Regions from separate parts of the Mus musculus genome. Here region 1 is reported to be linked to region 2. The links are microRNA targets in miRTarBase. Many come from high-throughput screens and were not tested one by one. Region 2 holds a microRNA gene; the other region holds the end of a gene's coding sequence.
What was found. Region 2 holds the annotated microRNA mmu-miR-704 (AGACAUGUGCUCUGCUCCUAG, at 1,994-2,014, shown strand). A microRNA usually pairs through its seed, bases 2 to 8, with sites in the 3' UTR of a target mRNA and lowers its output. Matches are read on the target gene's strand: a 7mer-m8 pairs with bases 2 to 8, a 7mer-A1 pairs with bases 2 to 7 and ends in A, and an 8mer does both.

Region 1 (4,264 bases), not on the chromosome of region 2:
CCGCCCAGGCTCAGTAAACAGGACTTGAGCGCTGCGGCCTGTGGGGCAGAGCCGAGTGTCTGAGGACAAGGCGCTGGCTTTGCTAATCACATCACAAGACCTTGAGCCTGGGCCAAAGGCGCCGAGTGGCGCGGGGTGTCCGGGGCGGGAAAGCCTATTCCAGGGGACTAGAGGGAAGTCGGAGGAGCAGTGTGGACATAGAGGAAGTCACTTCCTTCACCTTTGTGCCTGCTGGTTGGCCTGGCCTCCTCTCGGGGATGTGGGTGCAGCTCCTAGCCAAGGCTTCCCGCCTGTACAGCCTTGGCCTGTCGAATCCTGCAACCTTCCTCCTTCTGCTGTGGGAGGCGCGGCATTGAATCTAAGCTTTGTGTGAGCTGCCGGAGGCGAGGCGGTGATTGCTGAACCACCACCCAGGTTGGGGGAAAGAGGTCCTCATTCGGTTGCCTTTAGTGCAACTCCTACCAGCTTTCCATGGAAAAAGCAGTCCCAGAAGGCCCCTGGCTCTTTTTGAGAGGGGTCTCACACACACACACCTCCACACACCTAGCGACCCCCACCCCCACCCCGTGAGGCCCATCTGGTCAGGTCCAGAACCCTTTATCCCTACACTTCATACTGGCTGCCAAAAGCTGGAGTTGGGCCCATGAATTCACCCAGCTGGCAGTCCGGGTTGCCCTGGGTGGAAGGCCCAGTAGTTGCCAGAGAAGGCTGCTTGACCAACTACATCCTTCCCATGTTGCTCTTCCTGTCTGGTTGACCCAGTCCAGTGTGCACTTGGGCTGTATCAGTTAACCTTGAAGCTAAGGAGGTAGATCTGTCACTCAAAGGCTCCTGAGTCCAGGTGCATTTGGCCACACTGCAGTGCATGCTGCCCCTGTAGGTAGAGCCAATGGCTGCCAGAAGACTGTAGTGTCTTGGACGTAGTGCTGAGTGGGTTGGGTACGGTGGTTCATGCCTATAGTCCTAGCACTAATCACAAACTGTGGTGAGTTTTAGGCTAGCCTTGCACAGCTTAGTGTGAGAGTGAGACCATACCCCTATAAAGGAACAAAGCCCTCACCATCTTATATATTAAAGCAAACTGGCTTTTGGCTGTGGTCTGAGCAAGGGGCCACCCAGATCTTAGGACCCTCAAGTGTAGTGACTTAGGGAAGATGGCTGCTTCACTCTTCCCACCCACGTTGCTCTTGCCCCTATTACTGCTGGGTTCTGTGGCTGAAAGGACCCCAAATGTAAGCATGAGGCTGTGACTAAGGTTTTCCTGGTTTCTCTCAGGAAAGCATGCAGCAGTCGTTCCCCTAGCTACTGCTAGCAGGATTGCAGATACAAGCCCACCTGTGGAGCCATCCATCCCTCCTGTCCTCCCAGATTGGCCACAGCCAGCCAAGATCCAAGTCTGGGGTAAGTCCCAGCTAATGGCAGACTTGGTAGGATGGACTTGGAGATAACATAAGCCTGCTCTGAAACATGCTTTGGGACAGCATGCCTGCCAATGTGAGATGGTTTTATTGTCATGTAACTGCTTTTATTTCATTTTAGATGGAAGGGGAGAGGGAAGGTTGGGTCCTGTTCAGAATTAATCTCCCAAGGTTGTCACCACCAGCCCCTCTCACCAACTAGATCTTAAAGTAGTGTAATGCTGGGTATAGTGGTGTATGCCTGGAATCCTGGCACTCAGGAGGCAAAGGCAGGAGGATTAACACAAGTTTGAGGCCAGCCTAGTGTAAATAGCAAGCCTGACTCAGAAAACTAAAAGCAAAGCCCAAAACAAACTAAACAATGTTAGGTTTTCAATTTTTCATCAGCAGTGGGTTGCACTGCCTAACTAGGTAATTACTACAGGGCCACACAGACCCCAGGGTGCTGAGTGTTTCTAAGACCACCCAGGGGATTTCTGTTCCTCTTCATGGCCAGGAAGGACACAGCTCCTGACTTCCCTCTCCCTGCGTACAGGTCTCTACTCCAGCACAGCCGTGTTTCTGTGGTGCAGGATGGTTTTCTTCTGAGACCAATTACATGTGAAATGTCAGCGTCTCTGCAGGAGGAGCTAGCATATAGAATGCCTCTCTCCCTTTTCCTCATGATTCTAAGTGACTACTCACTGAGAAGTATCTGAACATAGCTATAGGCCCTACAAGTTCCTTCTATGGCTGGCATGGTCTTTGTGGATAACTGGGAATGTGGATCACACTACAGCAACACATCCACGCCGTGAATTGAAGGCAAGCGTCTGCGGGTGTCACGTACTCTGGAAGCACACGTAGCATGGTAAGCTGGGCCACATGATGCGGCTCAGTGGATAAACGTGCGTGCTCTGCAAGCCTGAGCCTGAGTCGATCTCTGAAGCCCATGCAGAGGCGGGAGGAGAGAGCTGGCTCTATAAAGTTGTCCCTCAACTTCCTCAGACATCCATGCTGGGGCATGGGTGCCCTCCTATCATGTACAGGTGCTGATAATAGTTTTAAAAAGTTTTAAAAGAGTAGGCTAAAAGCGCTAGACCAGCAGCATAATGTGTGCAAGAGCGCCACCTGCTGGTGTTCGAGGATGCCAGCTGGGCTGGGCCTGAAGTGACAAACCCTTCCGGTTTCTATATGGAATCACCTAAAGTGGGTAAATGTGTTTCTTGGCACTCTGCTGTCTCCACCAATCACAGGACGGTGTACAGTGGTGGCACCGAATGAATTAAGCATTTGCTCAGGCTTCCCTTTCCCCAGGCTCTGTCCAATAGCTGAGGCCAGTGATGGGTGACAAGGGTTCCTAGCCTTCGCAGGCATTTCTGGGTAAGACAGTGGGGACTCTTAATATGGACCACTGAAGGACTTGGGCAGGTAGATAGTAAAATGCAAGTATTTGCATGTTGTAGGTTCTTAATATTCCCAGAATCAAACATACCCTTTACTAAAATGGAATAAAAGTTTATAAATATGACCAAATAGGTATTTGCTAAACAAAACCAAACAAAAGAGCACTGTGTGTGTGTGTGTGTGTGAGAGAGAGAGAAAGAGCACTGTGTGTGTGTGTGTGTGTGAGAGAGAGAGAGAGAGAGAGAGAGGGAGAGAGAGAGAGACATGTAAGCTAAGACTGAATTCAATGCAGTCAGTGTATGGGGAAATGGGCGCTGGCTTTGGGATAGAACTGACTAGTTCAGGCCTGCAGGTGGCTTGCACCTGGAGACAGTAAACCTGCAGACAGCAGCTTCACTTCCTAGGTAGCTGCAACTAATTGGGTTGCCTTGAATGAGTGTGCTGCAGACAAGGTCCTCAGTAGGAAGGGACAGAAGCCTAGACTCCCAGAAGTGGGGAGGCACCTGAGGAAAAGAGTTTCAATTGGTGTCCACCATGTATGTGTCTTGCAGACCTGAGCTGAGGCCCAGCCACCTTTCTTCAGCATGCTGCTTCTGTTCTTGGGGCCATTACTTGTCTCCATTCCCTAGGGCAGTCTTCGGCTCTGAGACCCTCCTTTCCTTCCAGGCAGGCCAACAGCCTCAGGACAGCCAAAGTCCTTTCCTCCTGAATGCGCAGCCTCGTGTATTCCACTGTCTTCAAAAACTCAGCTGAGAGTGGAAGTTCTCTGAAGAGCTGAGAGATGAGGTGACTCTGCTCTGATGCTATCCTTTGCAAGTGACAGAGCTTCTGGGAGTGAGGGGACTGCCAGCCAGATTGACAGAGGAGATGGAAGAGTTGCCTACACAGGGATTTCACGAAGGTCAGAGTCTCAGCCCAGAAGTTGACTTCTGATTTTTCAAAGATATGCTCTTCTTCCCCCTACATCAAGTGACAAACAGCCAGAGTAAGTCTCCGAGGAGTCCTGTGGAGCCAGGCACAGCACTAGATGTGGGAGCTGTGTCTATTCCTGACAGGGCCCACTGGGGCTGTCAGCGCCCGTGCCACAGCACTTGCCGCTCTGAAGGTCACCTTCTACTTTCACTCAATACCTCTCTCCCAGCCGGACCACGACCTTTGATAAAGATGTGAATTAGCTCCAAGCCAAGATACTTGGGGAACTGGTGGTGCGGAAGTGGGTCTTAGGTTTTAAGGTGTACTGAGAAAAATCTTAGGTTTTAAGGTGTGCCGAGAAAATTCAGAGGAGGCACAAAGGAAGTCTGGACAGCAGAGCAGAGAGTTACTGGGACATGTGTGATAGCAGCACAAAAGAGACAAAATTTCTAGAATGCTATGGGGGTTTAGGGTCATTTCATCTAAAACACTTTGTTATATCATCTTCCTGTTTCTTATACAGACTGGGTTTTGAAGGGTTGGTATAC
Region 2 (4,264 bases):
GTCTCCAAAAAATAAATAAGTAAGTAAATAAATAAATTAAAAATAAATAAAATAAAAGTTCCCTCAAGTGTCTGCATGGATGAGGCCCTGAGTGTCAGCAAGGAAAAGAAGGTTGTTGTGTTAGAATCAGCAGGCAGAGACTGTGGCTGATACATAGCAAGGAGCTAGTCTGCCCTGACTCAGGCAGGGCCCGTGTGAACCCAGACCTGTGGCTTTCTGGATTCTGCAGCAAAAACCACTATATCTGTTCATTGTTGGGTGTACAGATGAAATGACAACACAAAGGGATGCCCAAAGGGAAAACAAACTGGGGGAGAAGGAAGGAAATAACGTAGTGTATTGGGGTGCAGATAAGCCAGTGGCACCTTTTGTGACCCAGCTTGAGTGCTAAAGAGATGCCAGTCCTTACATTGCTATAGAAGAGGCCTGACATGATCGGTGAGACATGACATTGTACTAGTGGGTCACCTACCCATTCTGGTTTATGACTGTTACTATTATTTGCTGTGAGGAAAGAGAATAACAGAGACAGCTTATAAAAGAAGGACTTTGTGTGGCCTTATGGTTCCAGAGAGATAATAGACCATATGATGGCAGAGTGCAGGCCTGGCAGCAGGGGTAGGAAGCTGAGGACCCACCAGAGTGAAGCAGACAGAACAAACTAGAAAATGGTGGGAATCTTTTAACTCTTGAAAGCCCACTTCTATTGACATACATCCTCCAACAAGGTTACAGCCTCTAAGCTTCTCCAAACAGCATCACCAAGTAGGGACCAAGCATTCAAATGGGAGACAGGAGACAGACATTTCATTCCAACCTCCACAGTGACCACTCAGGAGTTGTGTGTAGCTGTGGACCTAGCAAGCTCATTAAGCACCTTATAACCTCATGGTACCTAAGAAGAGAGTTACCCTTTACTTGCAGATGGTTGACATGTTGTAGGATGTACCCTTTAATTAAGGACCTGGAGGAGGCAGTGTTTATGTTAACTGGGAGGGCCTGAGAGCAGATATAAGTCATCGGGGTCTCATGCTGTGGATCGTTTGTTTTTTGTTTGGTGGTTTGTGTGCCGCCAAAGTTTAAATAAACCTGGGTGCCAGTCAGATAGGCATGTGTTCTTCTGCTACTTTGGCCCCTACACAGTCTGTTAATCATAATCCTAGTTGCAAATCCTGTTTATCTCCTGCTCTGGTTTGTAGGCTAAGAATTTGTTACACTCTAGTCCTCTGTCTTTGTTTACATTGTTGCCTCTCTCAGCCCCTGAATCCAGCTAGTCTGTTACCATTGTCTATACTTGATATTAGATAAGGCCAAAAAAGCATAAGCTGTCACCTCCTCAATAAGCCACTCCTGATTTATATTGTTGACAGCCCCTAGATTCTAAGAATATCTTCTCCCTTCTTAGGACGGTGGCTCTCTTGCTTTTTTCCTTGTCTTTCTACCAGTTTGCTGTGCTCCTGTCTACACACACAGGCCTCTTGGATGTGAATGCCAACGACAAGAGTCTCATGTTCCAACAATTTAGTGTGCCTGTGGGGCCTGTCTTGTCATTCTCACCTAGGAGACATTCCAAGATTTGGTGGGTGTAACTGAGTTCCTTGGGCCCATGGGGATTGGCCTCTGCACCTCACTTAGCTAATACATGAACCCATGCTGGGACAAATTCCTGATGGAATTGCCTTCCTTTTGGCAGGTGTGGACACTGCAAGAAACTTGCCCCTGAGTATGAGAAAGCTGCCAAGGAGCTCAGCAAGCGCTCTCCCCCAATTCCCTTAGCCAAAGTGGACGCCACCGAACAGACAGACCTGGCTAAGAGGTTTGATGTCTCTGGCTACCCGACTTTGAAAATTTTCCGCAAAGGAAGGCCTTTTGACTACAATGGCCCACGAGAGAAATATGGTATGGCTGCTACCTTCCTCGTAGTGTGTGGAAAGGGACTGTCCCTTGCACAGCTGGGAGCTAGAGGATGTGGTCAGCTGCAAGGATCTTCCTCAGACATGTGCTCTGCTCCTAGGGATTGTTGACTACATGATTGAGCAGTCTGGGCCTCCCTCAAAGGAGATCCTGACCCTGAAGCAGGTCCAGGAGTTCCTGAAGGATGGAGATGATGTGGTCATCATTGGGCTCTTTCAGGGAGATGGTGACCCGGCCTACTTGCAGTATCAGGATGCTGGTGAGTATGTAAGCCATACTCCTGAGGCTTTGGGGGAAGTAGGCTGTTTTGCATAAAATTAGCATAATGATTGGGTTGTTGCCTAGTATTCATGAGGTCCTAGACTCAAACCTTAGCCCCACCAAAACAGCAAATGCTCTTCCATAAGAGTATATCAGTGTAGCAAATGCTTGATGGAAGAACCAAGGGAGTAACTGTGGGAATTAGCTTTCCAGCCTTGTGCTGAGGCTGTGGGTCAGGTCCTTGTGGCTGTCATACATAGTTGGTGCCGTGTATAATCACATGCTAAATGTGAAAAACCAGCTGCACTGTCTCCCCACCGGACACAATCACATTAATTCAGGTTGTTTGCCTTCCTCCTCTCCTAGAAAGAACAGCGCTGACTTGGGCCTGGATTCAGGTCCTGGCCCTTGCTAGTTAACTAACACTGCTCACACGCTGGCTCCATCAGGCCAGTGTTTGTGGGTTTTAGGATCCTCAGTGCCACCTTTTCCTCATTTCCCCCTTCACACAGCACAAGTGTAGTCTACTTCATCACTAAGTTTCCTTTCAGCATGTCACTTGTCACCTTGTGCTGATCTCTCCGTGGCATAGCAATGCTTGTACATACTTTCAGTTCAGGCTGGTGATTTATTTGTTTGTTTTGAGAGAGGACCTCTGTGTAGCCCTGGTTTTACTCTGTAGACCACACTGGCCTCAAACTCACAGAGATCTGCCAGCTCTGTCTCCGAGGTGCTAGGATTAAAGATGTAAGCTGTACCCAGAGCAGCCTGCTGCTTTGTCAGCACTTTAGAGAAGAGCTCAGTTTAATTCGTGTTTCTTTAGTCTTCACTGGTTAGTTAACTATCATCTGCTCTTGGCTAATCAGGAAGAATTTACCCAGGGAATGTGGGAACTAAGGGGGTCAGGGAAGAGGAGGGAGAGGGGATAGCGTGAGTCCGGCCAGAGTTCCTCCTATTCTCTGGGCAGGGGGATGCGGGAGGACTGCCAGACGCTTTCTACTCAGCCCTGGGTGGACATCTAAGCCACTGACCTCACTCAGTGGGGGATGGACAAGGGGCAGCCCCCAACTGGGGGCGCCCCGGGGCTATGGGAAAGAGGGCTGAAGGAGAGAGGTTCCCACACAGGAGAGAGTCCTTAGTCTGGGCCTTTACTGGAACACAGGAAGGCCTTCCATCCGGAGATCAGAAATGGCTTGTTAAGAGAAAGCCTATCCCATCGTCCAAGCGCAGCGGGCCTTGATGAACAGAGACAGTCTATGGTTTTAGAGCTTCATTGTAGAAAGGCAGGGAGAAAAGAGAGAAGGTAGAAAGAGAGAGAGAGACCGGCCATGCCCAAGAGGAGAGAAAGGGGAAAGAGAGAGAAAGAGGAAAGGCTAGAAAGTAAGAAAGAGAGGAGAGAGTGAGAGCGAGGAGAGGAGAGGATGAGAGGTTAGAGTGAGGTGGGGCCAAGCAGCCCCTCTTATGGTGGGCTGTTATCTTTACTGTTGCTACATAACTGGGGAGGAGTGTAGCCTGAAGGTCAGAAGCTTGGGACATTGTCTACATGACTACTAGCCATGCTTCTCCTGTGAGGGCTGTGGGGGCCGTAACTTCGACAGGAGCCAGAGTTCCAGGAGCATAAGGGAACACCTACCGTGCCATGTAGGTGAATTATCACCACTCTGGGGTTCAGACCTCGGCTCGGCTGGAGACCAGACTGTGCATAGCCCAATGCCCAATAAGGGAAAGTCCAGCCTAGCCAGGGATTTGGCTAAATGCAGAGTTCTTAATCTCGGGACAAGAGCTTGAAACCTCTGTAAAGGGCACTAGGTATGAAACCTCAGTGTAAAGTCACAGGACTATATGGTACTTGCATGTTCTCTGAGAGGTACTGTCGTCCTGGGTTCCAGTTTGCTACTTGTCATAGATAGGAGGAAACATTTGCTCCAAACAAACAGTTCTAAATTTCTGTGAATGTATTATTTTGTATTTCTGACAAATTCTAAGATGGAAGACTTAGATATTATATTTGTGCTGAACTTTGAAGCAGGCTACTAGCTGGGCAGTGGTGTCGTACGCCTTTAGTCCCAGCACTTGGGAGGCAGAGACA

Region 1: the mRNA of Thada is a reported target of mmu-miR-704. Seed matches in the 3' UTR shown: 7mer-m8 at 3,066-3,072.

The regions. Positions count from the first base shown.
Region 1 is chr17:84,188,568-84,192,831 of GRCm38, forward strand. It overlaps Thada (thyroid adenoma associated), which reads right to left. Exons shown (of 38, transcript NM_183021.3): 38 at 1,489-3,764. The coding sequence ends at 3,384. It overlaps Gm36279 (a long non-coding RNA gene), which reads left to right and starts at 3,621. Exons shown (of 4, transcript XR_385852.4): 1 at 3,621-3,705.
Region 2 is chr6:47,801,340-47,805,603 of GRCm38, reverse strand. Mir704 (microRNA 704) reads left to right here and starts at 1,952; the gene lies at 1,952-2,028. Pdia4 (protein disulfide isomerase associated 4) reads left to right here. Exons shown (of 10, transcript NM_009787.2): 5 at 1,694-1,899; 6 at 2,015-2,173.